Linked DNA regions of Canis lupus familiaris. The main gene of each other region encodes a partner of the protein of the gene in region 5 in a complex. Links are inferred from orthologs where the notes say so. Each region holds a gene or a part of one and is shown on either strand. Other genes may lie near its edges.

The links.
Region 1: PRPF8 (region 5) and SNRPB share a complex: the UniProt entries of both Homo sapiens proteins name them as parts of the U4/U6-U5 tri-snRNP complex. The link is inferred for Canis lupus familiaris from reciprocal best matches to the Homo sapiens genes PRPF8 and SNRPB.
Region 2: PRPF8 (region 5) and LSM5 share a complex: the UniProt entries of both Homo sapiens proteins name them as parts of the U4/U6-U5 tri-snRNP complex. The link is inferred for Canis lupus familiaris from reciprocal best matches to the Homo sapiens genes PRPF8 and LSM5.
Region 3: PRPF8 (region 5) and PRPF31 share a complex: the UniProt entries of both Homo sapiens proteins name them as parts of the U4/U6-U5 tri-snRNP complex. The link is inferred for Canis lupus familiaris from reciprocal best matches to the Homo sapiens genes PRPF8 and PRPF31.
Region 4: PRPF8 (region 5) and SNRPD2 share a complex: the UniProt entries of both Homo sapiens proteins name them as parts of the U4/U6-U5 tri-snRNP complex. The link is inferred for Canis lupus familiaris from reciprocal best matches to the Homo sapiens genes PRPF8 and SNRPD2.
Region 6: PRPF8 (region 5) and CD2BP2 share a complex: the UniProt entries of both Homo sapiens proteins name them as parts of the U5 snRNP complex. The link is inferred for Canis lupus familiaris from reciprocal best matches to the Homo sapiens genes PRPF8 and CD2BP2.
Region 7: the proteins of PRPF8 (region 5) and TSSC4 are in contact, whole or in part, in a cryo-EM structure (PDB 7PX3), measured with the Homo sapiens proteins. The link is inferred for Canis lupus familiaris from reciprocal best matches to the Homo sapiens genes PRPF8 and TSSC4. Residues at the interface, in NP_006436.3 of Homo sapiens: Thr2087, Asn2088, His2089, Ile2090, Tyr2091, Val2092, Ser2093, Ser2094, Asp2095, Lys2108, Leu2111, Lys2112, Glu2184, Thr2219, Pro2220, Thr2224, Leu2225, Leu2262, Leu2263; in NP_001284587.1 of Homo sapiens: Pro153, Asp154, Tyr155, Glu160, Arg161, Trp162, Thr163, Lys164, Tyr165, Ser166, Leu167.

Annotation. Positions count from the first base shown.
Region 1 is NC_049245.1:19,133,268-19,136,869, reverse strand, and holds the end of SNRPB (small nuclear ribonucleoprotein-associated proteins B and B'), read right to left. Parts: intron 2,756-3,602; coding exon 2,603-2,755; intron 2,072-2,602; coding exon 1,933-2,071; intron 1,605-1,932; coding exon 1,479-1,604; intron 798-1,478; coding exon 787-797; 3' UTR 516-786; downstream 1-515. UniProt on the Homo sapiens protein: Plays a role in pre-mRNA splicing as a core component of the spliceosomal U1, U2, U4 and U5 small nuclear ribonucleoproteins (snRNPs), the building blocks of the spliceosome.
Region 2 is NC_049235.1:44,955,538-44,959,788, reverse strand, and holds the start of LSM5 (U6 snRNA-associated Sm-like protein LSm5), read left to right. Parts: upstream 1-1,284; 5' UTR 1,285-1,396; coding exon 1,397-1,442; intron 1,443-2,528; coding exon 2,529-2,624; intron 2,625-2,909; coding exon 2,910-2,937; intron 2,938-3,613; coding exon 3,614-3,686; intron 3,687-4,090; coding exon 4,091-4,123; 3' UTR 4,124-4,251. UniProt on the Homo sapiens protein: Plays a role in pre-mRNA splicing as component of the U4/U6-U5 tri-snRNP complex that is involved in spliceosome assembly, and as component of the precatalytic spliceosome (spliceosome B complex).
Region 3 is NC_049222.1:103,832,188-103,835,861, forward strand, and holds part of PRPF31 (U4/U6 small nuclear ribonucleoprotein Prp31), read right to left. Parts: intron 3,611-3,674; coding exon 3,521-3,610; intron 2,568-3,520; coding exon 2,440-2,567; intron 2,360-2,439; coding exon 2,287-2,359; intron 1,824-2,286; coding exon 1,695-1,823; intron 1,600-1,694; coding exon 1,501-1,599; intron 158-1,500; coding exon 32-157; 3' UTR 1-31. UniProt on the Homo sapiens protein: Involved in pre-mRNA splicing as component of the spliceosome. Required for the assembly of the U4/U5/U6 tri-snRNP complex, one of the building blocks of the spliceosome.
Region 4 is NC_049222.1:110,602,073-110,606,391, reverse strand, and holds the start of SNRPD2 (small nuclear ribonucleoprotein Sm D2), read right to left. Parts: upstream 2,817-4,319; 5' UTR 2,768-2,816; coding exon 2,766-2,767; intron 1,016-2,765; coding exon 836-1,015; intron 1-835. Other genes in the region: QPCTL (glutaminyl-peptide cyclotransferase-like protein), read left to right, coding at 3,515-3,790, 4,290-4,319. UniProt on the Homo sapiens protein: Plays a role in pre-mRNA splicing as a core component of the spliceosomal U1, U2, U4 and U5 small nuclear ribonucleoproteins (snRNPs), the building blocks of the spliceosome.
Region 5 is NC_049230.1:45,766,898-45,770,571, forward strand, and holds part of PRPF8 (pre-mRNA-processing-splicing factor 8), read right to left. Parts: intron 3,571-3,674; coding exon 3,358-3,570; intron 3,232-3,357; coding exon 3,106-3,231; intron 3,018-3,105; coding exon 2,912-3,017; intron 1,685-2,911; coding exon 1,494-1,684; intron 1,364-1,493; coding exon 1,244-1,363; intron 1,153-1,243; coding exon 963-1,152; intron 809-962; coding exon 689-808; intron 579-688; coding exon 444-578; intron 1-443. UniProt on the Homo sapiens protein: Plays a role in pre-mRNA splicing as core component of precatalytic, catalytic and postcatalytic spliceosomal complexes, both of the predominant U2-type spliceosome and the minor U12-type spliceosome.
Region 6 is NC_049227.1:17,900,242-17,904,709, reverse strand, and holds the start of CD2BP2 (CD2 antigen cytoplasmic tail-binding protein 2), read right to left. Parts: upstream 2,888-4,468; 5' UTR 2,820-2,887; intron 2,680-2,819; 5' UTR 2,605-2,679; intron 2,496-2,604; 5' UTR 2,350-2,495; exon of another isoform or gene 2,193-2,349; intron 2,062-2,192; exon of another isoform or gene 1,918-2,061; 5' UTR 1,898-1,917; intron 1,815-1,897; 5' UTR 1,789-1,814; coding exon 1,711-1,788; intron 1,472-1,710; coding exon 1,336-1,471; intron 1,213-1,335; coding exon 1,055-1,212; intron 933-1,054; coding exon 491-932; intron 410-490; coding exon 300-409; intron 218-299; coding exon 107-217; 3' UTR 1-106. Other genes in the region: sesquipedalian-1-like, read left to right, coding at 3,377-3,985. UniProt on the Homo sapiens protein: Involved in pre-mRNA splicing as component of the U5 snRNP complex that is involved in spliceosome assembly.
Region 7 is NC_049239.1:46,929,511-46,933,782, reverse strand, and holds TSSC4 (protein TSSC4), read right to left. Parts: upstream 2,881-4,272; 5' UTR 2,593-2,880; intron 1,867-2,592; 5' UTR 1,763-1,866; intron 1,593-1,762; 5' UTR 1,573-1,592; coding exon 610-1,572; 3' UTR 348-609; downstream 1-347. UniProt on the Homo sapiens protein: Protein associated with the U5 snRNP, during its maturation and its post-splicing recycling and which is required for spliceosomal tri-snRNP complex assembly in the nucleus.

The DNA.
Region 1 (3,602 bases), on a different chromosome or scaffold from region 5:
TTGTTAAACACAGACTTTAAGTGGAAGAAATCATGGATATCTCCAACTCAAAAGTTGTTAGGTTAAAAGAAAAAGAAAAAAGTTAGGTTAGGTTATATGCATGTGTGTGATGCTAGGAGAAAGTTCTACCAAAATTGTTCCCCTCTCAATAGGATTGTTTACCATTTTTAGTATCAGCCTCCTACTTTATCATGTGAAAATGAATATAATCTCAAGTACTGCACAAAAGGCTATCAAAAGGAGTGTCTAAAGGAGTGTCTTCCAAAGATTTGCTAACTCCACCATCACCAACAGCATGAGTATTTACTTCAACAAACTAATCTTTGCCAGTTTGGTACGTGGGAATGTCTCATCCAATTTTGTTAATTCTCAGTATGAGGCTGTGCATCTCTGTGAATGTGTATTAAAATATTTTATAAGGGAAGCAGCTAAGATTAGTGCTAACTTTTCCAGGGCAACCTTTCTTGACTCTATTAAGGACCTCATTTTCTAAAATTAAACAGACACGCCGAATACAATATTCTTAAGAGTTTATTATAAACTAGTTTCACAGGCTACAAGGAAGTAAAAGGACTATGTACAGCCTGACGGGAAACAGGCAGGGAGCTGAGGAGGGCCAAGATGAGTCTAGGGCCTTGGTGGGCGCATTCCCGGGGGAGGGGGCCCTGAAAGGGAAACCAGACAATCCTGTGAGACTCCAAGAACAACGGCATAACAAACAAACACGTCTGTGGCAATCGGGCCCACGCCTCTGTGGAGCTACTTCCATAACTCTGTGGTCAAGGGTCAAAGGAGGCCTGAAGTAAGAGTAAGAAGTTTAGTCAGTGCCTGATCAGCAACTCAAATCCCCAGCCCCAACCACCACCCCAGCCTCCCACACCCTGCAGGTACCAAGGGATCAGAGGGACATAACATACACACTAACTAGGGACTTCTCGGATATGTATGGATTTCTTATGCTTATAAAACCCACCAACAAAAAGCCTGAACTAGAGACAGGGGTCACCCACTGTGGCTGTGGGTTATCTTAAAGGCCACTATAGCTTGGGGCAAAGAACACCAATCTGGGAGGCAGGATGCTAAGCTCTCAGGGCCCATTATCTTATCTATAAAATGAGAGGGCTAATCTATCTCAACATTTCTCAAACTGGAGTTAAACAGAAACAGAACCAAAGGCCTAAGACAATCCCAGGGCCTTTGCTGGGGACTCTCAGAATGTATTTCACAGTGCCCCCAGAACACTGCCTTCTACACTGAGAAGAGCCCTGGGTACAGGACCACTCTAATTGCTCTAAGAGGGAGGGAACGCTGATTTTAAGAAATGCCTTTTCCCTCTTTCCTTTGTGGACAAAGTTGCACTCTTCACTTCCCTTGGCTTAAGGCCTAGAAGCACAGAGGGTACAGCAAAATCTAACCTTCCCTCCATTTCCCATCCCAACATGCTCTAAAGAAGTCGAGTCACTGCTGTTCGTACTTACCTCGCATGCCCGGGGGAGGGGGCCGCATCCCCGGCGGGGGCATGCCCATTGGAGTTCCTCGACCAGGAGGGATCCCCATTGGGGGGCCCATGGGAGGCCTCATGCCAGGTGGTGGGCCCATCATGCCTACAAGAGAAAAGGCCCAAGAATACAGCTCAAGTATCTGCCTCAAAAAGGTAGCAGGCAACATAACAAAGCTGTCCACTAAGTTCTGAGACAGATGGACCTTCCACCCTCCCAGTCTCTCCTAAGAAACTGGGTCTTGAGCCAAAGAGGTGGGGCTCCCTATGGCTCTTGTCTGGCTAGTTCCATGGTCAGTCACGCTGGATCTCAGAGTAATCCTGCTTAATTACCCAAACTCATCATCAGTTTCAGTCAATGTTATGTCTCATCATGAATCCAGCTCAGGTTATCTCCCATCAGGTAGCTGTGGTCTCCTTAAAGGGCTCCTCACCTGGAGGCGGTGCCCCCCGGCCCATAGGTGGGGGAGGACCCCCACGGCCGGGCGGGTACTGGGTCGGGGCCCCTGCAATGCTGGCAGTGGCAGCAGCGGCAGCAGCAGCCACAGTGCCTCTTCCCTGCGGGGTCATCACCTAAGAGGACACAGAAGCAGAGTCAGGCAGAACAGGGCAGTACAACACAGCATCCCACTCTCCCTTAACTCAGTTAAGACCCAGCAGACATGCCATCCCCTAAGCTACAACCCGAGGTACCAGGCTATCTGAAACCATCTGCCAGAGAAGACCAAGCCTAAATGCTCATTCCCATCTACCAGGCCTGAGTTACGGAGGCCCAGTCCAAATCATAGACAGCACCAGCACTGTTGGTGTAACTACTAACAGGCTGTAAGAGAGCATAGCTCATGTTGTCATGGCAATATTCTGCCCCAAAATGGGCAGCAAAAATACCTTTTATGCATCTCTTTACTTCAATAGCATCAAAATAATGTACAATGTTAAGTTTTCCTTCTCATCTGATTCTAGGACTACATATAAAGCACAATGAAATACTGACATCCTGATGGTCGGAGGTTGGTTCTTCTGGACTCTTCCCAAACTGTGGGCCCTCTCTCTCTATCCTTCATTTTAATCACAAGAAGCTGGTGCCTTCCCCCAACTCCTTACCTGCTGGGATGGCCCACCAACCCCTCGGACTGGCCCTGCAAGTCCTGCAGGAGCCTGGGGCATTGGAACACCAGCTGGAATTCCTCTACCAGCAGCCCTGCCAATCCCTGGGCCCCCGGCAGCTCCAGCAAGTGGCACTCGGGCAATGCCAGTCTAAGAAATAAAGAAATATGGTAAAATGCTGGGGACCTAGAGAATCAGAAGTACACTTTGGAATATCATTGCCAAAGGAGCCCCTAAGATATATGAGGCATCGAAACACCTTAAAAACACTACCCCACCACCCCTATGTGTTAATTCCTCTTCCACCCAAGATTATGTGCCTAGCTGTCACCTCTACCATAGGCTAGAAGAACTTAAGAGGAAGTCTAGAGATAACACACCACAACTCAACCTATAATATTCCTATGAAAATTAAATCAACAAAGGGCCAGGACTCCATTTAAAAGGCAGACAAGAGCACTTGACCTGGCATCAGAGAAATGAGGTCCAATCCTAGCTGATTCTCACCTGGTGGTGAAATTGGGCATGTAATCTCATAGTCTGGGACTACCTCCTCACTGGTCTTCTTTAGTATTAATTAGTACAATGGACTTGGGTTATCATATGACCAGTTGTGGTCACGAAGACTTACAGTGACCTATATAACAGAAGCAATTTCTACTGGAAACCAATCCAAGAGTTATGAATATAGACATACACTTTAACCAAAAAATATGGTAAATCCCTTGCATTTGTAATTGGAAAGGCTTCAATGTATGAGTCTCAATGTATGAGAAAAGAAGGAAATGATTGGGGTAAGTACTCTGTTCCTCACTTGAGAGTATTTTTAACATGACTTTTAAAAACCATACAGTTAACTGGAAAACTGTTTACAGTGTTTAGTGAAAGAGCAAAACAAAGTATTACATATACATATTACACATTAAATTTAAAAAAATACATATGTGGACAAAAGTAAAATTAAGGACAATTATTCCTTTGATGATGTCTTAAAATG
Region 2 (4,251 bases), on a different chromosome or scaffold from region 5:
TATATTATATTTGTTAGTAGGCTTTCTCTTCCATTCATCCTTAAGCTTCTAGAAGGGCAGAAGACATTGTAGTTCTGTTTTGTACAGTTTTATACTCAGCAAAATGCCAAATAGTGTGTAGCTAATGCATATTTGTTCCATGAATGAATGATGTGTGTATTACAACTATCTGTTGTATGAATGAATGATGTTTTTTTCTGCTCTCTCCTGTTTAGACTCGTCAGCCTTACGTTCCTGGGATACAAATATGAAACAGACTTAAGGCAGAGAATTTGTTTGCTTTCTATTCTTTGCAAAACAGAAGTGCAAAAAGCCTGGGATCCCTGGGTGGCGCAGCGGTTTGGCGCCTGCCTTTGGCCCAGGGCGTGATCCTGGATACCCGGGATCGAATCCCACGTCGGGCTCCCGGTGCATGGAGCCTGCTTCTCCCTCTGCCTGTGTCTCTGCTTCTCTCTCTCTCTCTGTGACTGTCATAAATAAATAAAAATTTAAAAAAACAAAACAAAACAAAAAAAAAACAAAAAGCCTTAAGGTTTCCTGTGTGATGACATTAGCGGACAGTGACATCTGGTGGCTGCTTATAAGACAAGACAGTTAAGTGTTGAAAGTGGATACAGTCTGTGATAAATTGGACTCCTAGCTACAACAAGGTAAGAATGATAAGGTAGTAGGCATAAAAATAAAATGTGTTTTAAATTTCCACTGTAGAAGGTTTTTTTTCTTTTTAAATGCTGGTTGTGGGTTTTCAATTCACTGGACTTTAAAAAGAAGCACTAGATTCTTTTTTCTCTCTTCTTTAAATAGGCTCCGCACCCAACGTGGAGCCCAACCAGCGGATCCTGAGATCAAGACCTGAGCTGAGATCTAGTCTGAGGCTTAACCCACTGAGGCACATGGGCGCTCTAGGAGTAGATGCTTTGAAAAACGGCTTTTACAAAAACTGCAACACAGTGCATTAGTGGCAAAAAAAAAAAAAAAAAAAAAAATTTTTGGTTCGGTCTGAAAAAAGATCCTGGCTTGAGATGAGGTGCAACTTCATAGCAGAAAATAAGACGATTCAAAGATTTCCGTATTTTGCAAAACCTTCCGGGTTGCAGGAAGGATTTATTCACAAAGCAGGATCCCTTTAGCGTCTGTCTGTCGGAAACTGCCCGGGGAAAGCCGCTACGTGCCCAGACCGCACCACCTGCAGCGGACGGAACCTTCTCCCCGAGAGCTCAGCGCCCGGGAAAGAAGCGATTGGGAAGGAGCGACTCCTGCGGACTGATTGGATCGCAAGTTCGGCCTCCGATTGGTCGAGCCTGTCCGGGCCGCGGGCCGGCGGGGGGAGCGGAAGCGCGCTCTTTCAAACTTGCCGGGCTGACGGCGAGGCCGGCGGGCCACTTCCGGCGTAGCCATGGCGGCCAACGCTACCACTAACCCGTCGCAGCTGCTGCCTCTAGGTAATCGCGGAGAAGGGGACCGGAGGGCTCAGGCTAAGTGTTGGGGCCCGGGCGGCTGCGGCTGAAGTAGCCCTTGGTCGAGTGTTAGGGAAATGTGGGGATGAAGGGCCTCAGTGCTCCGCGGCTCGTCTGCCGGCTCCCGAGTGTCTGCGGCCCCGGGCCGCCCGGGAGCCTCTCTGCACTAGGCACGAGGGCTGGGCGCTCTTGGACAAATTCAGACGCCTCCCACTGCCTGCGGATAGCACACACACCAGGAGGAGATAGAGCGCTCCACCTGTAAGCATCACGCCGAGTGATAACGAAGCCAGCTAACGAGGCGTTCAAACTGCGGTCCGAACACAGAGATAGTGACAGGAAGAAATCTCTGGTGGATACGGTTGTGCCTCTTCCGATATTTTGTAGCCAAAGAGTTGATGGAGTTATCGGAAGTGGCCTTGTTTTGGAAGTTTTCATTCTTTGATTCCACCAACTCTTTTTGAACGCTTGCTATGTGCCAGACATTGCCCACTGAGGATAGAGTCCTGGGAAAACAACCACAGTTGTTTCATGGGGCTTAGACTCTTAAAAAAAAACATCAAACAAACATTTTTATTCATTCATGAGAGACACCCAGAGAGGTGGAGAAGCAGCCTCCATGCAGGGAGCCCGATGCAGGACTCGATCCTAGGACCCCAGGATCACGCCCTGGGCTGCAGGCAGGCGCTAAACCGCTGAACCACCTGGGCTGCAGGGGGTGGGGGGGGCTCAGATGTTAATTATATATTAATTATGCATTTCGTATGTTAATCAAAATCACTTAAAATAACATTAAACCACAACCGTGATGGATAAACTTCAACAAAGGAGAGGTAAGTGGTAAACAGGACGTTTTTGTTTATGCAACAGAGATAACGTACCGTAAAATCTCTAAAGTTTTTGAATGAATACTTTCTCTGGTTTATCTTTCACAGTAAGTAACTAACAAGTGCCAGTAGGCATTCCAATATTTGTTGAAGAAATGAACAGGTAAAATAATCTTTTTTTCTCCACCCCCCCACCCCTCTTTTTTTTTCTTTAAAAAAAAAAAATATATATATATATATATAGAGCTCGTGGACAAATGTATAGGATCAAGAATTCACATTGTGATGAAGAGTGATAAAGAAATTGTTGGCACACTTTTGGGATTTGATGACTTTGTCAGTATCCTTTCAAAAGGTGGTGGTGGTATGGGTTTTCCTGCAGTACTTAAGAACAGAAATAAGAATATGGACAGTCAGTACGTAACTGGTTATTGTATTAGAAATTTATTCACCTCTTGATAGCGTTTTAAGAGGTGTGTGTACTGAAAAAAGATAAAGTTCCTACCGATTACTAGTATTTTGCTCTGGAGCCATTGTATTAAACGTTGTAATTAAAATGGAGTAAAGATAGAAGCCAGAGTAAATTCAACCTGGTATATGTATTTTTCTTAACACCAAATTTCAGATATGGTACTGGAGGATGTCACTGAGTTGTGAGTAGTGTTAAAAATTAAAGAATTGGGGGGAATCTCTCCTTAAGTCAATTTTAGTATTAATGAGTTTAAAATGATTAATGAGAAAACATTGCCTGTCAGAAATACCTTAAAGATAGAAATTTTATCTACTGACACTGGTAAAATTGGATCAGTTATTACCGGATGTAATTATTATGTTATTATTAATGACTGGTAGGGACTTAGTGGAGACTGAGCTTTGAGATAAAAGATACTAAAAACAGCCAAGGATGTTTGTGCTCAGACAAATCAAGGCATTAAACTTAAGATATAAATGATAGCTCCATTATATTAGTTTTAAAGATCACAACCAGTGTCTGCTTTCAAAATTGAGTTGATTACAGATTGGTTTAATGGGTAAGGGATTAGTAGTAAATAATAGTAAAAAGGTGAGGCTAGTAAACATTCCATTTCATATTTGATCTCTTTGGCCAGTTTTAGCTTCTTTTAGTTTTGATCCTAGTGGATGTGGATCTGAGGCCAGTCAGTTCACTGTGTTGCCTTTGGTCATCCAGTGGATAACCTTTGTCTCTGAAAACTACTGACATAATTGCTCAACCTCATATTCATATAATATAAGAATAACTTTTTTAGGGATCAGAATGTTGGCTTTGATTATCATTGTTTATCTTGACTCTTTTATTTCTTCATTTAGTGAAATCACACCAGAAGGAAGAAGGATCACTAAATTAGATCAAATTTTGCTAAATGGAAATAATATAACAATGGTAAGGTACAGTAAAGCTGGGCGTTTTTTTAGATGTAGCCCATTTTTGTGAGGCAGAGATTACAGATTACTTGGCTTGGTTAAATAAATGTTCATGGCCCAGTGGGTTTAAGTTGGGAATGAGATGCTCCTGTGATCAGGGCTCTAAAGCTGAGCTACTGAACATGACAATAGGCTTAAAGATTAGTTTGCTTGGGCTTTTTAATCTTTTGGTTTGCCAAGAATCATTGTTTAGACTCTAAGTATTAATTGACGATGTTGGGATTATAAACAGAAGCAATGACCTGGAGAAAATGGGAATGTGGGGGAGGAGCAAAGAGGCCAGGTATCTTTGATGGGTGAAAAGGGGTTTTTAGATGATGGGTGTGGTGGTGGTATTAATAAGCTCTTTTTCCTTCTCTGCAGCTAGTTCCTGGAGGAGAAGGTCCTGAAGTATGAATGGATTTCCTTACTCTCTTTTGTCCTATAATGACAACAAAATCGATTTTTTTTTAAGCCTTTTAATGTTTGGATTCTGTAAAGCTAAGTTTCCCGTTGAAGGGAAATGTTTTGAAGATGCATTGTAA
Region 3 (3,674 bases), on a different chromosome or scaffold from region 5:
CTTCAGGGGCAGCCACCCAGGGTACAGCCCCTCAGGTGGACATGATGCCGCTTTTCTCGCCCTTGACCTTGAGGAACTCGGCCATGCTGGAGAAATACTTCTGGTTGGCTTCAGCCACCTTCTTCTCAGCTGCTTGTGGGTTCACAATCTCTAGGCCCTGGGCAGGTGAATGAGGTAATGATGGGGTGGGGAGATGGGCTGGCCCCTGACAAGGCCCCCTTACCCAGTAAGAGAATTGTGACATGTCGGGGAGGCCCTTTTCAATGGTTCCGGGCTCCAGGTGATAGAACAGTTTTCCAATTACCAAATTGCCCCCACCCCAAACCTGGGGAGATTCTAACTGTGGCTCTGGGAAGAGGGAAGAGTGGGGAGGACCTGGGCATCTGAATTTTTATCAAGTTCTCTAAGCAATTTTAAAAGCATCAATGTTGGGCAGCCCAGGTGGCTCAGCAGTTTAGCGCCGCCTTCAGCCCAGGGCCTGATGATCCTGGAGACCCGGGATGGGGTCCCACATCAGGCCTCCTGCATGGAGCCTGCTTCTCCCTCTGCCTGTGTCTCTGTCTCTCTCTCTCTGTATGTCTCTCATGAATAAATAAATAAATAAAAATCTTAAAAAAAAAAAATCAATGTTTCAGAACAGCTGACCGGGTTTGGTTCCTGAATAAGGAAACTGAGTCACAGAGCTAAGTGGCTCACCTCTGGCCCTCGTGCAAATTACACCAAGCCTACTGGTGACACGGCGTCCAGCTGTGGGGGCTCCACACTGGCTGGCACCATTCCCAGTATCTTCCACAGGTAATTCTGACCTTCTTGCTGAGGCCTCCCTGGGCGGGTCCAACCCGATGCCTCACTCCCTCTCCCCTTTCTTCCCTGCACTTTCCACTTTCCACCAGGCTCCATATCTTATCTGACCCCTGCCACCCCACAAGCTCCCTGAGGGCAAGGCTTGCTGTCTTGTGCTTGTGGCTCTATCCCCAGTGCCTGCAACAGCACCTGAAACTTAGGTGCTCAGTACACCCTTGCTGATGTTGCCAATGAACTCAGTTATTCTACTCGATGCTATGGGGCGTGCTGGCGCTATCTGTGGGTAGGCTGAGAAATGGACAGATGCAGAGGCTCTGTCCTGTGCATGAGTGGCTGGGCTGGGACCTCTGCTTCCCAGCCAGCTACCTTTGAGTTTTCTTCCGTGGAGCCCTGAGGTTGTCCCAGCCACTTAGCACCTCAGGGAGGAGCTGAGCCCACTTGAGGTCATGGGGAATCAGTAGTCACCCCTAGTCCCAGCCCGATCCTAAAGCCAGCCTGCACTTGCAGGCAGACCTTTTCCCTTCTGCTCCCACTAGCCTGAGCACCAGGAACTGAGCTGTACCTTTCAGGGGCTTCACTGATACACAAGGCTGTCCACAACAGCCCTGCGAGAGGAAGGGGCTTGCCCAGGTCCACTCAGAAAGCTGGGAGTAGAGCCTGCCCAGAACTGGGCCTCCTGACTCAGGTGCACAGTACCTGCAAAGGGGTGAAAGCCACACTGGAAGCAGTCCCCGAGGAGCGGTCACGGATGGTGGACTTCCCGCCATACACGACACTCTGCTTCTGCAGGGTCCGCTGTGTGGAGGGGAGGGGACAGGATGTTTGGGCTTGGCTTGGGCTCTCCTGCTGGAGCTCCCAGACTCCCAGGCCCACTCAGGCCCCGCCTGTACCTGCAGTGTCTTAGAGATCCTGGCTTTGGTGGCCTCGTTCACCTGTGTCTGCCGTACCCGCCCGCTGCCTGATTTGCCCAGATGGCCCAGGCTGAAGCCCAGGTCCTCTTGGTAGGCGTCTTCCTCGATCTGGTGGGAGGGGAAGGTAACCAAGAGTTAGCCATCTTTCATCAGCCGGATGCCCCAGGCACTGACCCGATTCAGGTGCCTGCTGGGGCCCAGTGAGGAGTCCAGTCCTATTACGGCTCCCTGAGCTGACAGTTGAGGGAAGCTGTGAGTGTTCATGTATGCAGTGTCAACAACCAAAACTGGGCTTGCTGACTAGAGGGTGTTTGAGCTGGTTCTTGCAGGACCATGAGGATGATGCTTGGGTAATGAGTCTGGCAGAGGTGAAGCCTGAGGAAGGACCCTCCCTGGGCAGATCCAACCCGACAGGGAGGTGTGTACAAAAGGGTGGGGGTCGGGGGACAGGGCCAACACTGAATGCTGCATAGGTCCCTTCAGGGTACATGGATGTGGGGGGAGGCTGGAGGTGAGGTGCTGCCTCAGCCGAGAAGAAATGTGGTGGGGACATCCAGACTAAGGCTTTGACCTCTCCGAAGCTCATGCGGTTGGCCTGCTTCCGGATCTCGGTCAGCCCTAGCCGCTCCTTCATCTTGCGGTACCTGGGGAGGGGCGCCAGGGGTCAGCTGGGGTCACAAGCCCCTTCCCCTCCTCTTCACCCCCACTGGCCCTCAGGGCCTACCTGCGGCCACCTCGCTTCTTGCGCTGCCCGTCCAGGGGTGCAGGCAGGGGCTTCACCTGCTTCACGGGCGGCGGCTCCTGCCATTTGTCAAACTTGCGCTCGATTTCATCCTTCAGCTCATATCCCACCTGGGGAGGGCAGGGGGTCCCATTGAGCCTTGCCCATCCCTCTACCTGTGTGTGGCACCTGTTCCCAGGCCTGGGGGGCCTGTGTTTCTTGGGAGACTCAGACTTCTCCCAGCACCCCTCATATAATTCTGTCCTTGATGGGGGAGAAGGAGGGCAGCCCCCGAGTGCAACAGGGCCAAACCGCACACCTGCACCTCTTCCCCAGCCTCCAGCTCCGGCCTGCACAAGTTGGTAAAGGGAGGTCACTTGGGAGCCTCACCTCTGGCTTCTCTCCCTCTGGGCTTTTCCTTCAGTTAAGACCCCAAATCGCACCCCTCAGCATCTCTGCTACAGCCAAGGTCTCTCTGGGGCACACAGGCTCTGCGTGACCTGTCCCATCCCACAGCCTCCTCTCCCTGGCTTCCTGTGGGCCAGGCTCAGGGCCATTGCACTGGCTGCTTCTCCTTCCTAGGACTCTTCCCCCAGGCACTCACTTGACTTGCTTCACTTCACCAACTTGCTTCACTTGCACCAACTTCACTTGGGTGCAGATTAGACCTTCACCTTTGCAGCAAAGCCCTCCCCAACGTCCGGGTTAAACTCAACCTCCCTCACCAGCCCAGCACCCTTTGATCCCACCCTAGCATTTATGTGGCATCCCTGGACACACCACAGATGGCCCGTGTCCTCACCCCGCCCCCAGCCAGAACATGAATGCCACAGGGGCATGGCTTTGGTCGGAGTGCTCACTGCTGTCCCCACTGGAACCTCAACCAGTGGTCAAGAGGAAAAGTGGGGGGCAGTGAGAGAAAGAGACTGAAGCCTGGACACTGTGCCAGACTGCACAAGACAAGATATACCCACTTTCATGGAGCAAGTCTGCCAAGAGAGATAGAGGTAAACTCAGTGATGACCTGAACAATGACAAGTCTGGTAGAGGAGACAGACCCACACAGATGCCTGCTGTGCCTCACCTTCCCTTCTGTGCTCTCGTGGAAGCTGTCCACACGGGCTGCCAGTGTGCACTTGGCAGCCACCAGCCGAGCCGCTTTCCGCCGGAGATCCTGAGGCAGCAGAAAGGGGGCAGAGTCAATGGGAGGATTCATCCGCCAACACCAAGCATTTACC
Region 4 (4,319 bases), on a different chromosome or scaffold from region 5:
ATGTTAGCTACTGAGCCAAGTACCCTTCCTACAGAAATATTTAATCCTCACAACTGTTCTATGAGGGGTATTTTTATGACGCACAGTTTGCAGACAAGGACACTGAGGCCGAGAGAGGAAATAACACTTGCTGTTCCCTCTGGCTGAAACACTCAGACCCTGGCTTCCTCCTTCATTGTATTTAGGTCTGTTCATCACGGTCTCTTCCTATGGAACCCCTAGCGTTACCGTCTAGGACAACACCTCCTTCCCAGCACTCCACACTCTCACCTGCCTTTACTATTCTTATGACACATTGTTTGTGTGCTTGCTGTTGGTTTCCCTACCTATGGCATAAGCTCTCTTAAGTATAGGAGTCCTCTTTCAGTCATTGCTGTGTCTCTGGAGCCTAAAAAAAGTACTGGGCATGGTACTTTATTTTTTTCTTTTGGGGCATGGTACTTTATATCGTAACTGCAAAACCTGATTAATAAGAGCTTCCTGGTGCCAGATGCTGTACTTCTAATGACTGTATTACACATCACATGTATTAAGTCACTGAATCTCTGCAATCACCAGAATTACTGCCATTGAATGGAAGAGATAAAGTTACTTGTTGAAGGTTTCATGGCTGCTAAGAGGCAGAGTCGAGACACAAACCCAGGAAGCCTGGCTCCCAAGTACATGCCCATCACTACTGTACTGCACAGCTGGAAGGACAACAAGACACCATTGCACTTTGAGGTCTGAATATGCTTATGCCCCAGGACTCTGAAAACCTTGTATTTGGGTTCCTCACACTGGAACTGTGTCTGCATTTCCAAGACAGAACACCTTCCAGGACCCAGGTGCTTACCTGTCGAAAGCCTTCACACGGCCCAGGAGCTTCTTGTTGTTGCGGCAGTTGATAAGCACCTGGGTGTTGTTCTTGACTGACTGTGTGAGCACAGAGAGCGGACCCGTGTTAAACTCTTCCTCCTCCCGCTTCTGTAGCTCCTCTGGGGTCATCTCACTCTTGGGTTTGTTGAGGAGGCTCCTGAGGGGCAAGCATGGAACCCGTAGGTGAGAGGCCCAGAGCTAGAGCGTGGGTGGTCACATGATGTCTCCCCAACCCACCCACCCCCCTGCTCAGTCCCTCTTGCATGGCATCACCAGCTGGATGCTGAATAGACATTTCCAACCGTATACATCCTCAGTTGAGCTCCAGATCTCCCAATCACTCAAACCTACTCTTTCCACAGCCTTCCTCATCTCCATCATTCTAGTTCCTTGAGCAGAAACCCTGATATCAACTTGACTCTTCTCTCTCACATCCTACATTCAATGTCAGCAAATTCTGTCATCTGCCTCTAAAATATACCCAGAATCTGTTTCTTACCATGGCCTAAACCTCTATCATCTCTCTCCTGAGAGCCTTACTTGTCTCCCTACCTCAGCCCATGCCGCTGACCGTCTGTTCTCCACAGCAGTCCCAGAGGTTGTATCAAAATCTAAGTCATATCATTTCACTCTTCGAAACCCTCCCATGGCTCCCATCTCTGTGTAAAAAGTAAAACCCAAAGTTTTTACAATGCCTGGCATCTTCCCATCCTTCTCTGTTCCAGCCAGTGGCCTTGAAGGTGGTCCTTTAAGATATTAGGCAAGGGGCGCCTGGGTAGCTCAATGGCTGAGCATCTGCTTTCGGCTCAGATCCTGACCCAGGGGGAATCCCTGGGTGGCTCAGCGGTTTAGCGTCTGCCTTTGGCCCAGGGCACGATCCTGGAGTCCCGGGATCAAGTCCCACATCGGGCTCCCTGCATGGAGCCTGCTTCTCCCTCTGCCTGAGTCTCTGCCTCTCTCTCCCCCTATGTCTATCATGAATAAATAAATAAAATCTTAAAAAAAAAAAAAAAAAAAGATCCTGACCCAGGGATGCTGGGATCGAGTCCCACATCGGGCTCCCTGTGGGGATACTGCTTCTCTGTGTCTCTCACAAGTAAATAAAATCTTTAAAAAATATATAAGATATTAGACAGACTTTCACCTTGGGCATCTCCCTTCGTTTTCCCTCTGCCTGGATACCTCCCCAGGTATCTTTGTGGTTCTCAGGTTCTTCAGGTCTCTGCTCAACTGCTGCCTTCTCAATGTGTCCTGCACTGGTTATTGAGTTACTTTCTCTCAAAACTAGTACTCCCCATTGTTTGGATCCTGCTCTTTTGCTTCTTTACTCACTTAGCTCTGATCACCTAACACACGCCATACACTTTACATTTTTATCACCGGTGTGTTCATTGTCTGCCTTTTCCCACACCCATAAGCTGCAGCAGGGCATTTTTCTTGCGGGATGGGGGTCGCAGTCACTGATGTATCTCACGTAGTTAAAGCAGTGCCTAATACATGAGTGCTCAATAAATAATTGCTGAATGAATACCAAATCAGGAAAATCATTAAGGCGATTCGTGAGCCGAAAAAGTCGCGAATGAGGTGAACTTCTCCAGCTCAAATTGTCCGGGTAAGTCCCGTACCTCAAACCGTTATTTCTAAAACTCCGCACTCCCGTTTCCCAGGTTCTTTGCTTCCCCTTAAAATCCATTTCAGCGAGACTCATTATCGGGGAAATCCCGGCTCATTAACTGATCAAGTGCCTTCCCTCGAACTCAGGACCCGTAAAAGGCCCCATGCCCATCCTCAAACTCGTCAGAACGGTGCGTACTTTACCCCTAAAACCTCTGCCTCCGATCCCGCCTCGCCCACCACCGGCAAACGGCCACATCTACGCCCTCGACCCCACTCCCGCCGGGCCTCACATGGTGGTAGCGGCTGCGCTCGCAGATCAGCTCCGTCTTCCCCGCGTTGCTCCTGCCTCTGAAGAGAGGGCTACAGGCGGGACTTCCGTTTCCTGTGGCCGACTTCCGTCGGCGCCTGCGCAATCCCAACCTGCACGGTGTGGGCGAGGCCTGTTGCCGTGGCAATCCGCGCCGGCCCCGCGCAGACGTGGGGTAGAAGCACTGCGTAGTAGCTCAGGGTCTTTCAGGACCATATGGAGAGAAGACAATGGAGAGAAGAATAAAGCGGGTCCGACTCAAATCGTTTCGTTGTAGAGCGGCACAAGCTGAAGAAGGGACAGGACACGGCATTCCAAAAGCCCGCCGGCTCCGCCCTCGGGGGCGCGGCCTCCGTGTAGCCAATCGGCTCCTCGCTTCTGGGACGGGCACCGCCCCTTTTCCATCGGTGTCGGTTCGTTTACGTGTCTATTGATCTTTCCGACTTCGAGTAACCAATCCTTTGCCTTCCTACGGGAGGGGCGGAGACCTGCTCCTTGGTCCAACGTTTTTCAGGATCAAACATTGCTCATTGGCTTCCGTTCCTCCGTTGAGGCGGAGCCTCTCCCTTTCGCACTACCCTTTTGGGTTGTGCAACCCTCAGGGGAACCAACCCCAAAGCCCCAGGGAGACAGGAAGGCGTGTTCTCAGAGTGAGGGTCGCCATTGGTTTCACTGACCGAGGGTGGGTGGGATGGTGCAGCCGCTCTTCGTGTTTATTGGTTCGGTGATTCCATGGGGTGGGATTTGGCTGGGCCTAAACTATCCGCGGTCCGGGACCGGTTTCGGGGCGAAGCTGCCATGCCTTCCGGGGGCCGCGGGCGGTCCCGGCTACGGCTCGGGGAACGTGGCCTCTTGGAGCCGCCCTCCCCGCCCAAGCGCCGCCTGCTCCCGCGGGCGCACTTCTTGCCTCTGCTTCTGCTGGCCCTGGCCCTGGCTTCGGCGACCTACACCATCTGGAGCGGCTGGCACCACCAGACTGAGGAGCTGCCGCGGGGCCGGGAGCTGCGGGTGAGGCCCGGCAGGGGCACGGGCACCGCGGGAGCCCTCATTCCCCGCCTCCCCTTCCCTGAGGTCTCAGGTTGACGTGGCTGTGTCGTCTGGCCCAAGCTGCAGGTGCTGCGGTCTCCGTCGATAGAGCGCATGCCCGTTGCTAACGAACTGAGGCTTTGGGCTTGTTCTGTAATAGGTGGTTCTACCTAAGAGGGAGAGTCTGCAGTAGTAACACTGGGAATTCTGGGTTCCAATCTGAAAGTCAGCTATTTGGAAGAGTCCCTTCCTCTCTCTCGGCCTCGATTTCCCCATCAGGATTGAGGTGGGCTGGACCTGGTGGGTTTAGAGGGACTTTCCTTAGCCTAGGATTTCTTCTGGAAACCTCCGATGCTGGAGGTTCGAATTAGGAAGAAGAACCGGGGCTTCTTAGGTGCGATGGCGTCCGGGTTAGGGTTGGAATGGGGGTTGCCCTCACGTTCGGTTCTTCTCTTCCCTCTCCTTGCTCCCTCCTCCTAAGGGCCGCTTGATCGGAAGCCTCTCCGAAGCC
Region 5 (3,674 bases):
GGAACACATCTCAGGCAACAGAGGGGCAAAGAGGCAAAACTCTGGGACCTCAACATCAAAAATGGAATAAATGAGAAATTCTAACACAGAAACCAGTAACTGGGATTCTCTATTTAAAGGCAGGCTTCAATGGAAAGTGTTACAATTAATAAGGTGAGGGCAAGTAATGAAACGCTCAGAACCTTTCTCTAAATTGGTCCCCGGAAGGAACGCTGACTAGACATAAAAATTAAAATGGATCTGAGACTCGGGGTCATGAGATTGAGCCCCATATCAGGCCTCACACTCAGTGTGGACCTAGTTAAGATTCTTTTTCTCTCCCTCTGCCTTCCAAACACAATGAATGAATGAATGAATGAATGAATGAATGAATGAATGAATGAAAGAATGAACAAATGAACAAACTGGATGAAGAAAGTGAGAGTATGAGGGCAGGGTCCAACCGTATTGAAGCGGTAATAGATGAGATGCTTCAGGTCCTTGCACATGCGAATCTGCCGCATCAGCTTGTATTTGTACCGGTACATGCCCGTCAGTTGCCCCACATGGGCAAAGATATACTGCAACCCATCTGCCAGCTGCAACACAATGACTCCATCAGGCTTTAAGCTAGAGCCAGCTCCATGATCAGCTTAGGCTTCATTCAGCTTCCCTACCTAGGGCAGGGATCAGGGATACTTGGCCTCACCTGGAAGGCATCCACATTGCCCAAGCGATACTGCACATGACTGTCCACCACCAACTTGGTTAAACGCAGAACTTCTCGACACAGATGGAAAGCATTTCCAAAACGAGATTTCTTTCTTTCCTGGAGAAGGTGCCAAGAATAGAAAAAACAAACAAACAAACAAACAAACATTGATCAGTAATGGTCCCAACTGGATGTATGCCTTCCTCAGAGGACAGAGCAAAACCAGTCCATCCCTCAAGCCCAGAAGACCCTTAAAGTACAATGCAGACACCTTGGTAGTGAGGGTCTTGACAGGCTTAAGATTGAAGTTATAATCCAGATGCAGATAGTTGAGGTTTTTTCGGTGAATAAGAAGGTTGAGCATGTTGTAGCCCTGGCGGCAAACCTGAAGCCCCACCTCTACCCAGTCCAGCTTTGTGGACTGAAAGAATTTGGTAGCTTTGAAGGAACGAAACAGGTACCTGGGGTGGGAATAAGTGGAAAAGTAAGAATTAGCTTCTTGGTTAAATTTGGAACAAAAGAAGTCTGAGCAATGACCCTCAGGCACCTTACCTCTTCTTTTGGGCTTTAGGGGGCCGGTGCTTCAGGGCATTCAGCACATAGTACTTAAGAAGTTTCTGGTAGGAGACCCTCACTTTCACAGGTTGCCCAGCAGGACAATGCTCCCGATACCTGAGAAAATTAGCCAACCAGAGCTAGCCCATTTCTCCTTCTAATCCCTCTGGTAAAGACTGAATGTCAACCCAGTTGGAATTCTTTTCTCCTATACATCTACTATCATCTCCCCAGGTATTAGTCTTACCAGTTCTTGACAAGGGGGATGTCCAGGGCCCGGCGGGTACGACCAGAGCGTAGGTTGAAGGGCCTTGGGGCCCAGAGCAGGGCAATGCCATTGGCTGTATTGTCTGTGTAAAGGGGTGTGTCCTTCAGGAAGGGCTCCACAAACTCTGGGAGTTCAAACTCCTCGTCATCATCAGGTAATGGTTCCTGGCTCTGAAAGAACAACCCCCAAGGGTTCAGCTCCCACTGAACTGAACAGAGAACTGGGATGAGAGGGAAATTATCTGGGGCTGAGCACAGTGGTGCCATCTACCATGGAAACTGGGCTGCCAGACAAGAGAAGCCCTAAAGGGCCAGGGCAAAAAGGGCCAAGGGAGTAGAGAACAAGCTAGGGCCAAGCAGAAAGCAAGCATCACACCCTAACGGGCTCACCACCAAAGGCCTCCCAAAGGAGCCCCAATATGTTAAGTAAACACAAAAACTAAGCTAGAGTAGGGAGGTCTGTTAAGAACACTATAGAACATGGGTAAACATCAAAAACATTATTTCAAACCAATCAGAGGGATGTGTCTGCTTTTGGCTCTGGGCGTGATCCCAGAGTGCTGGGATCGAGTCCTATATCAGGTTCCCGTGGGGAGCCTGCCTAGATCTCTGCCCATGTCTCTGCCTTTCTGTCTCTCATGAATAAATAAATAAACTCTTAAAAAAAAAAAAAAGGCCAAAAAAAAAAAAAATAAATAAATAAAAAAAAAAAAAAGGCCAATCACAAAAGACCACATACTGAAAGATCCCATTTATATGAAACCTCCAGAAGAGGCAAATCTACAGAAAGACTAGGAGTTGACTAGGGGAGGGAAACAGCGACTGCTAATGGTATGGGAATTTCTGGGATGATGAAAAGGTTGGAAAATTGTCTGTGGATATAGCTAAACTACTCTGTGAATAAACTAAATACCACTGAATTATAAACTTTAAATGGGTGAGTTGTACGGTATGTGAACTAATAAATATATCTAATAAAAGGATTGGAAAAAATTCATAATGCAAACAGCCCTGAAATTACTATATGGAAAGTCCCAATCACAAAAACCCAGATTATACAAATAACTTAGTTTAAACCAAGCACTTTACTGACATATCAAAGCTCAAAGGGAACACTAAATAGGTAGTTCAATTTTTATTTAGTAACACTTCAGCTACAGTCAGCAAATTTCTCTTCAAAGAACTAAGATCTTGGTAGCCCGGGTGACTCAGTGGTTTAGCGCCGTCTTCAGCCCAGGGCCTGAACCTGGAGACCTGGGATGGAGTCCCATATCAGGCTCCCTGCATGAAGCCTGCTTCTCCCTCTGCCTGTGTTTCTGCCTCTCTCTCTCTCTCTCTCTCTCTCTCTCATGAATAAATAAAATCTTAAAAAAAAAGAAAAAAGAACTAAGGTCTTACCTTGACAGAGTGCCTGTGAGAAATTGGGTTGATCAAAGGATCAAAGTAGAAAGCTGGGAGATCAGGATCCTCAGTTTTGATGAACACAACATTAGGAGTGTGGTACCTAAAATAAAGGAAGAGTAATAAACTCAGGTTCTCCTGCCCTGGCCCAATATCCTCTCCCCCCTCTCCCCCTTTGCTCTAGCTCTCACCAGGTAAGGTGGACATGGTGTGGAAGGTTGTTGTACAGATAGGGAAAAGCAATCTTGTATTCAGTGCGGATAGGCTGCCGGATGATGATCTTGTTAATATCGTTGAATTCATTCCAGTCTTCATCCCTAGGGTACATTATCAAGGATGAGCAGACTAGTTGGGGAGTTTGGAAACTACAATGGCATCTCAAGGATCAAGATTAGATTTTACTCAATCCGAGGTGCCTATAATCCCTAGTATCTCCAACTTACTGGAGGTTGATGTCTCGAACAAGAGGTTCAAATTTGGGGCCTCCAGGAATGGCCATATTGAGTGCCTTGGACGTGAAGAAGGCTTTCAGATCAAAGAGATAGAAGTAGTTATCATCTACCAAGTCTGTCAGGAGCTGATTGGCCAAGCGGTATAGAGTGGACATCATGGGCAGTGTGAACTGCCAGCGCTGGTAAGTGGAACCATTCACGTACCTAGGGAAAAAAGACAGGCCTATGTCAGGTAGCCAAGCCATTCTGTCTATTGCTCACCCAGGACTCCTGGCCTTCCAAAACTTTCACAGGAGTGATAACTCCAA
Region 6 (4,468 bases), on a different chromosome or scaffold from region 5:
AAAATGGACTGAAAGGTGGCCCCCAAAATCCTCAATGCCTGAGACAGCTGGGGCCTCCTCCAGAGTCAAGGAAAGAAGGGACCACCAAACTGGGCCCTCAGCAGACTCAGGTGTAGAGGTCAAAGTCAATGCGTTTGGAGTTGTAGAACTGTCCACCGGGAGGGTCCAGCTTCCGGCAATAAACACCATCTGCGAAGTAGCCTTCGTTCACCCAGGTCTGCAGGAAAGGAAAGCAGAGCTGGGGAAAGACTCATGGGAGAAGGGAAGGGGGGTAGTGGTAGAAGCAGGAAAGGGCTTACCTGCATCTGGGTGCTGGTGAAGGGCCCATACAGCTCAGCATCCCCTGTGTTCTCCCACTTATATTCCCACATCACGTCCACCAGACCATCATCTCCTTTCAATTCTGCTTCTAAAACAACAGGCAAAGCCATCTGGCCCTCAAGTGCCCTACCTCCTGCCCCAACACCCCTCCTCTGCCTTCTGATCTTACCTCCCCTCTGTGTGGGGGTTGGGGTCTCCAGCTCCCCCTCTGCCACTTCCTCAGCAAACATGTCCAGAGAGGGTGGGGGTGTGGGGTCAGGGGGTCCCTGAGTCCGGGACCCCAACCCCTTCAGCCGCATGGCTAACCGTTCCCTTGTCTCCTGATATACACCGAGGTTGCCCCGGGCCACCATCTGGTCAGCCAACCCAGAGAGCCGATCCAAGCGCTGAGGGGAACTAGGCCGCCCAGCCCCCTTGCTGCCCCCTTTGCCACCTCCTCCTCCTCGGGCCCCCAGACGCCTCAGTGCCCCGGCCACTGTCTCTCTGGGTAACAGCAGCTCCAGAAGGCCCTCCAGGAGGGCTTGGGCACTCATTGGTGTCTGGCCCAGGCTGTCTTCTTCCTCTGAGTCTGAAGGTGGGCGCTGATCAGGTGGCCGCTCCTTGATCTTCACCTGTGATATGAAAACGGGGTGGGGGGGGGGGGGTCGGTTATCTCTTACAAACCGTGAGCAGGGCACAAGCCCAGCACTTGCTGCCTCCAGGTCCCCAGCCAAAGTCAACCCCTGGGCCACACCCAGTCAATGTTGTCCAGCCAGCTATCTCGGATCTGAGCATCCCGGTTCAGAAAGTAATTGCCATCAGCATCAAAGTGGCCTTCCTCCATCTCTTCCTGCAGGTTGAAAGGTGTGATCCGCACACCTCCCTCACTGGGGAGTGTGGCTGCTTCCTGACCTGCACCAAAGACACAGGTGGCCCAGGCTGAGCAAGCAAAAACAGACAAGAGCCTTCTCCACCCCATATCCCGTGAAACCCCATCTGTTCCTCCAGCAGCAACAATTCTTGGGTTTAGCTCACCTTCCACATCCTCTGAGGCCAGGATGTCGTATTTGCTGGACCCCTCATCATCATCATCCTCCTCATCACTGTCCAAAGAGTGTTTGCCTTTGAAGCGGCTCCCAGGACCCCCTGCCCCAGCCACAGGATCCACCAGCTGTGAGGAGCCAGCAAGTTGAGAGATGCAGGTTTGCGGCTATTCCTCAAAGTACTCTAGGAAGGTTTTTCTTCAAAGCTTTCTCAGACTGAAAATTCTCCAAACCCATTTCCCAGAGAACATGGAAAAAGCGAGACCTTTCACCGCTTTATCCCCACCAGCTTTCTTTCTCTTCTAGCCTCCAGTTCCTTCTCCCTGCCCTCACTCCTCCCCAGAATACAGGAGTCTGGCCACCTCACCTTCTTCTTGGGGACACTGATTTCATCCTCATCATCCTCATCTCCTACGCCTTGGAAGGTCACTTTCCTCTTTGGCATGCCTGCACAGAGGGGCCTTCGCCAAGCTGAGCGAGGGAAAGGGTGCAGATTAAGGGAACTGGGCGAGGCTACTCACCGCCGAAGGGCCGCCAGCACAACAAATAATCACCTGGTACGCACTAGATCCAGCTTGGGAAGAGAGGGTGCAGAGTCAGGGGCCGAAAGGGAAGTCGGCCGCCAGGAGGCCCCGGGGACTTGGTTTGGTCCAAAAGAGTTGCTGGTGCGGGGCCGGAGAGGCGGACGCGCGGAGGGGCTTCCCACGGGCAACCCCCACCCTTGACGAAAGGAGACAGACCCCCCACACATGCCCCCCCATTCCTGGCCCCCGCAGTCCTGGGTGCGACGAGGCTCTGAGGGCTGACACCGGCTCCTACACCCCCAGCTCCCTCAGAGCCCGCGGGGCCCGGGCGGACCCAGGACCTGGCGTCCTGGCCGACCCCCTCTTCCCCGCGCCGAACTCCCGGCTCCGAGGGGTGACCCCCAACTGTCCCGGGCTAAGTGTACAAATCAGAGGGGCGGCAGAACCGCGAGGATTCCAGGACCCCACCGGCGCGCGCTCACCTAAAGATCGACGGGAGGCCGGCGGGGAAGGAAAAAGAGAGCTGCTTTCCCCACGGCTACGTCCGGGGCAGCGGCCGCCATCACCCGGAAGGGAACTGCGGAAGGCGCTGGAGAAGGCCGGAAGTGGCTTCACTCGGGGTAGGGGACTAAGTGGAGAAGCGGGCGGAAGTACACAGTGAGCGGGAAACACCTCCCCGCCCAACCCAGAGTGACGTGATCAGTGTGGGGCGACAATGGCGAGAACAGGGGACGTACGAACGCCTAGGCCCCGATCAGACGAGAGAGATGGCCGGATGCGGTTTCGATTCCCTCCGACAGCAGTCAGAGGCTCTGGGGAGAAAGCAGAGCGCACTCTACTTAAAGGGGCGCCCAGGACCATGATGGAGGAGCAAAGTGGGACAATGGCCCGTTTCCCTTTCCATAGTTGAATCACTTTCCCCAGGGTTGCCCAAGGGCTTTGCGCCCCTCACCAGAATCTTCTTGGAAACCCTTCCTTTCCACTCAGCGTCCAGTCCAGTCCACTCCTACCCCGAGGTGCGGCCCTGCTCTTTTCCCCGAGGCAAGACCCGGTTCTGATGGCCAGCCTGGAGGCCCGGGGTGGTTCCGGGGCACTTGCCGAACACAGGTCTCTTTAGGACCCGGGGGAAGTCATTTACCCGACACCTATCCCCTGGGGAGTTCCTGGTTTGAGAGGTGGGAAGAGCCGTCTCGGAAAGGTGACGGTGGTACCTGTGTCCAGTACCCAGGCCGAAGTTTCTTGTGCCCTGATTTCAGGTAGGCCTGGAAAAGGGCAACAGTGCGTCTCTCCAACTACAGGCGCAAGCAAATAGGGGTCCAGGCCAGCGGCCCCTGCCCAGGGTCTGTAAACTAGCCCAAAGGGGAGAACTGTAGGTGGGAGGTGTCGGCCCCAGTGCTGGGGGGGGGGGGGGGGAGCAAGACCTGTACTCTTGAGGACACTCTTAAATCCCACTAGGCTAGGACCAGCTCTCTCTCCTGCCCCCAAGGTCTACTCCCAGATTGGACTACCATGAAACTGCACCAGAAATCCGTACTCAATTTCTTCCGTGGATACAGAAAAGCTCCAGACCGCGAGGGCATCTTGCTGAAGAAAGGAGCCCGAAATATCAGCTATCAACGCCGCTGGTTCATCCTCCGGGGAAACCTCCTCTTCTACCTGGAGAACCAGGCGGACCACACACCCCTGGGCCTCATTCTCTTGGAAAACTGTCGGGTGGAGCCACGCCTTGGGGCCACAGAACCCTATGCCTTTACCATACTGACCCCTAGGGTTGAGGGAACAGCTGGGCGTGCCTACAAATTGGCAGCAGAAAACCAGGAAGAGCTGGGAGCCTGGCTGTGGGCACTAGCTGGGGCGAGCTGGAGGCGGCTGGTGGCGCTACTACCCCCCCTGGAGGCCCAGTACCGGGAGCTGTGCCAGGCAGCTGGCCAAGAGCCCAGCTCACCCCCAGAGGACTGTGGCTTTCTTGCCACCCTCGGTATCCCCTCCAGCTTCCAGGAATTGCATGAGCACTTTGGAAAGGAGATCCGGGTGCTGCAGGTGGTGCGTAGAGGGCCCCAGGCTAACAATGGGGGCAGCAGATCCCAGGCAAAAGAGGAACAGGAGCTCAGCAGCTGATGAGTGACTGAAAGGTGGACCAAAGGCCAAGAGGTACCCACGTGCCAAGACCAGCCCACAGCTTCGGTAGATGCCTGGATCCTGGCCTGCTCCACTGTTTCCCACCCCCTGCCCAGTCCTTATTCTAACCCCCTCTATCAAATAACAAAGCAGGAGACGGGCCCAGGTACAACAGCAGGTTCTTTTCTGATTCCTCAAAGCGCTGCATAGGATAGGAGCAGAGATAGAAGAGAATGTAAACATTGGGTTCCACCCCCTGGAGCTCAAGGGAAGACCCCTTCCCCAGATAGGGGCTGGAGGGAAACAATGTAAAAGGTGGGGACCCTGGTGAGACAAAGCAGGAGAGGCCTGAGAATACACAGGAAGGTGGTGAAGAAGAAAGAGAGCAAGGAGGATGGTTGGGGGGGGGGGGCATTTCCTGTTCCAAGGCATGTCCCCTTAAATAAATGAGTGCAAGAACATTGTAGAAGGAGAACTAAAGGA
Region 7 (4,272 bases), on a different chromosome or scaffold from region 5:
CAGGACACTGGTCATCATCACACATGGCCCGGATGAGGAAGTCCCTGACCCCACTCACATTCCGGCCTCCTGGAGACCCATCTCATCACCCTGTTGGGAGCAGAAGCTGGACACCTGGGACTGTGAGGTTGCCCCCTCGAGGGCCTGGGGCCTTCTCCACCTCTTGCTCTGGATCAGGAGAGCTGGAAAGAGGGCCTGCTGGTGAACCCAGGCAAGCATTTAAAAAGCCTCCATGCCCACTGGAGATTAAGTTGAAGAGGCTCAAATGAGAGAACCGGGTGTTGGGTGTACAGCATGGCAGACAATGGCCCGAGGCGCAGGATCTACACAAACACACACACACAAAGTCTAAGCAACACCCAAAACCTTTACTGTGGCCCCACAGGCATGTGGTGGGCCAGGGTCTTTGCTGTCCACTGGCAAGCTGTCTGCTTCAGAGACCACTATCCCGAGCCCTAGCCCAGGCTGCTGGCGCCTCACACTGGCAGACCGCTGGCTCCCTTTCCAGGGCGGGGGGCCCCAAGCTCCACTCCACTCCAAGTGGCCAGTGACCCCGGCTGCCCTCCTCCACCGCATGGTCAGGAAACGCCAGCCAGGCAGTCTCTTCTCTCAAATCTCTGCACCTGGGGCCTCAGGTGTGTTGTTCTTGTTCCGGAAATGGTCCCTGCTCCGCTTCCTGCTACCATGGAAGCCAACAGTCTCCACCACTGGGGGCCCCACCGCTGACCTAGCATGGGCAGCCCCCTGTGGCACGTCCACTTCCTGTAGCCCCCCGTGGGGGCTGTTCTCTTCCTCAGCCTCTGGGCTCCCAGGCCCTGCCAGGTGGGCCAGCTCCACAGGGCCCTCGCCCCCTGCTGCTCCCAGGTCCCCAGGGGCACCCCTGCCTGACTCTCCTGCCTTCCTCAGGGCCCTCTTCCTCTCAGGCCTGGCCTCGCCAGCTCGGGCCGGTTTGGTGAAGATGACTCTTCCCTCCCCACAGCTGGAGGGATCCTGGTTGAAGGACGGCATGTAGTCTCTGGGGCCAGCCAGGCTCTGGGAGCTCAGGAAGGCCAGGGCGGCAGCCTGATTGCTCTGCTCACTGACCTCGGCTACGTTTTCCAGGCTGTACTTGGTCCAGCGCTCAGGGTGGGCCATGTAGTCAGGGATGGGGGGCAACTTCGTGGGGGCAGGGCTCTGACTGGCCCTGCCCGGGCCCTCTCCTGGACGCTGGTGTGAGGATGCTGGTGGCTGCATGAAATCCCCATGGTCACCCGGGTCTTGCCTGGCTGCGTCCTCCAGGCAGTCAAAGATGTTGCGGCTGCGCCAGGAGAAGGTGGAGCTCGTGCCTCTCAGGTGGAAGGGCTGTACTGAGGCTGTGGGGAGGCCTTTTGGAGGCAAAGGGGTCTCATCGGGGTCTGAGTCCCCCTGGGCCTCCCCAGATAGCACCCCCGGGGGCAGAGCTTCCATCTCAGTACCGCCAGGCAAGCTGAAATCGGAGTCCGAGTCACTGAGAGAGACGGTGTCGGAAGGCAGAGCGTCATCCTCTGTTCCTCGCTCGGCTTCCAGGGGCTCTCCTACCCCTACCTCAGACATGTGTCCCAGGGCCACCACACCTAGACCAGAACAGCCCAAAGAGTTCGTTTCTGAGGATTGCACCCATTTAGGACGGGCCCCTCCTATAAACCCACAGTCCCTGGGCAGGCGGCAGGGCCAGAAGGAAGAGCTATGTCCTACCAAACAAAGGACAGAGATTCCCACACCCGCCCCCCCCTCAACGTCTCACCTCCGTTGTCTGATGAACGTCTGTGCAGACACCAGAATTCTGGTGGGTGAAGTCCCGGCAAAGGCGCCCGGTGGCCTCAGTCCCGGCTCCGCTTAGCTGCTCAACTGTAGCGGGCAGAAGGTGGGAAGGGCAAATCGTCAGGGAGCACCAGGGCAAAGCGGTACCGCGACCCCCAGGGGGCGGTCCTGGGTTTCCGGGGCCCAGGCCCAGGCCGGCCTGGACGCAGACCCTTCGGGAAGATCTTCATTCAGCCCTCTTGAGCTAAGTCTAGGGGCCCGCTGGGGGTTAGGCAGGCAGCAGCCAGGGCCCAGCCCGGGGGCAGCAGCAGGCTCTGCGCTCCACGACGGCGCTCGACCAGGCGGCCCGTCCACGAGCTGCTCGGCACAGCTGCGCCACCTGCCTGGGCAAGGCAAGGGCTGCCCCTGCCTGCCCAGACGCCCCGGGACTCCACGCGGGTCTGCAGCCGGGGCCTCCGCGTCTGACCGTCAGGCCCGCGGGGAAGTGGGGGGTCAGCGGCCGCCCGGGGCATCCTTGCGGGCAGGGCAAGCCCGCGGCTCCGGCAGCAGCCTCTCCTGGCACGTCCCCGCGAGGGAAGGAGCTCCGGAGGGCGGGGCGCCGCCGCGACCTGGGGGGGCGGCCGGGCCGGCGGGCGCCCCGGGGTCGGGCACAGCGCCCCGCGACAGCGAGCGGCCGCGGCGGCTCCCGGGCTTCTCCGCGGAGGCCGGCGGCTCGGCCGGGGCAGGGCTGGGGCGCGCTCGGCCGCCCGTGGAAGCCGGCGCCGGCTGTCTCCGCCCCGGCGGGGGCCTGGCCGCACGCGGGCCGCGGCTCACCAGGCTCGGGGAGCCACCAAAGACGCGAAACACCTCGGGGATGTGGGGCGAGGAGGCTGCGAAAAGGCGACCTCTCTCCCGCGCCACAAGCCTACCGGCTCAAAGCCGCCGGGCCGCCTCCATCTTTCGCCGCGCTCGGCCTCCTGGGAAACCGAGTCTTCCGCCGGCCCGGCGCCTCGGCGTCCGCACCTGAAGAACTACACCTCCCACAAGGCACCGGGACGCTACTCCCGAGGCCTGTCGGGTCCCGTAGCCCCTGCGCATGCGTCCTCGCTTTTCTCCCTAGCCTCCCCCCTCCCCGGAAACGTCGGCTCTCCTTCGCGCAAAGAGCCGGAATTGAGGAGGGAAAGGAGGAGGAGGAAGAGGCAGCACTGCGACTCCCAGAATGCTCCAGGACTAACGGCCAGCGCCGCGTTCCCGGGGCCCCAGCGCCGCCTGCTGGAAGTCGCGAGCACAGCGGCCGCCTCAGGCCGGAAGTGCATCGTCGCACGCGGCATCGTCGCCGGGTGCTTCCGGTCAGGCCGGAAGTGCGGGCCGCCCGCTCGTGGGTCGGGGGAGGGGGAGGGGGAGGGGGTGGGGGGGGGCCGGGTTCCGTCTGAGCGCTCGGCTCGCGGTCCCGACGGCCCGGCCGGTGCTGCCCACCTGACGGCCGGTCTGGCCGCGTCTCTCGGGGCCGCGGTCCTGGAGTGCTCGGGAAGCCCGCGGACCCCTCGTTTCCGGGGCCGCCCAGCATGGCCTGCGGCAGCACCGGGCAGCTAGGTCGGGATGCCCCAGCCCCCCAGCCCCGCCTGCAGCTGCAGTGTGCCGCTGTGCGAGGATGCCCCAGGGACCCCGCCCTCCTGGGGGCCCCCCAGCCCCGCCAGCAGCTGCAGTGTGCAGCTGTGCGAGGGCGCCCCAGGGACCCGCCCTCCTGGGGGCGCCCCAGCCTCACCTGCAGCTGCAGTGTGCCGCTGTGCCAGGGCGCCCCAGGGACCCGCCCTCCTGGGGGCCCCCCAGCCCCGCCTGCAGCTGCAGTGTGCCACTGTGTGAGGATGCCCCAGGGACCTGCCCTCCTGGGGGCCCCCCAGCCCCGCCTGCAGCTGCAGTGTGCTGCTGTGCGAGGGCGCCCCAGGGACCCGCCCTCCTGGGGGCCCCCCAGCCCCACCTGCAGCTGCAGTGTGCTGCTGTGTGAGGATGCCCCAGGGACCTGCCCTCCTGGGGGCCCCCCAGCCCCCCAGCCCCGCCTGCAGCTGCAGTGTGCCGCTGTGCGAGGGCGCCCCAGGGAACCGCCCTCCTGGGGGCGCCCCCAGTCTCGGTCTCCCCAGCACAGACTGGCTGTGCTGTGCCTGCAGGCCAGGATCCCCAGGGTCGTGCAGGGGCAAGTAAGCAGGGCTGCTCCTTGGGCCACTCTGTTCTCTCAGGGACCCACCCTGGCACACAAGGTGGAGGGGTGTGGCAGGAGGGGCAGACCTCACTGAGACCTGATGACCCCAAAAGTAGGGCTGGGGCCAGTTTCCAAAACAAGCGCCAAGGGAGGCAGCTGTCAGCCCTCCACATGAATCCCAGCCAGGCCCTCATGGCCTCAAGGGGCCAGTTCAGCATACACCAGGTCAGTGCCTGCACTCAGCTCATGGTGACATCACCCAGCACTCCCGAGGGGGTGGGGGTGGGAGGAGGCAGCTGGGCCCCGGTCCAGGACGG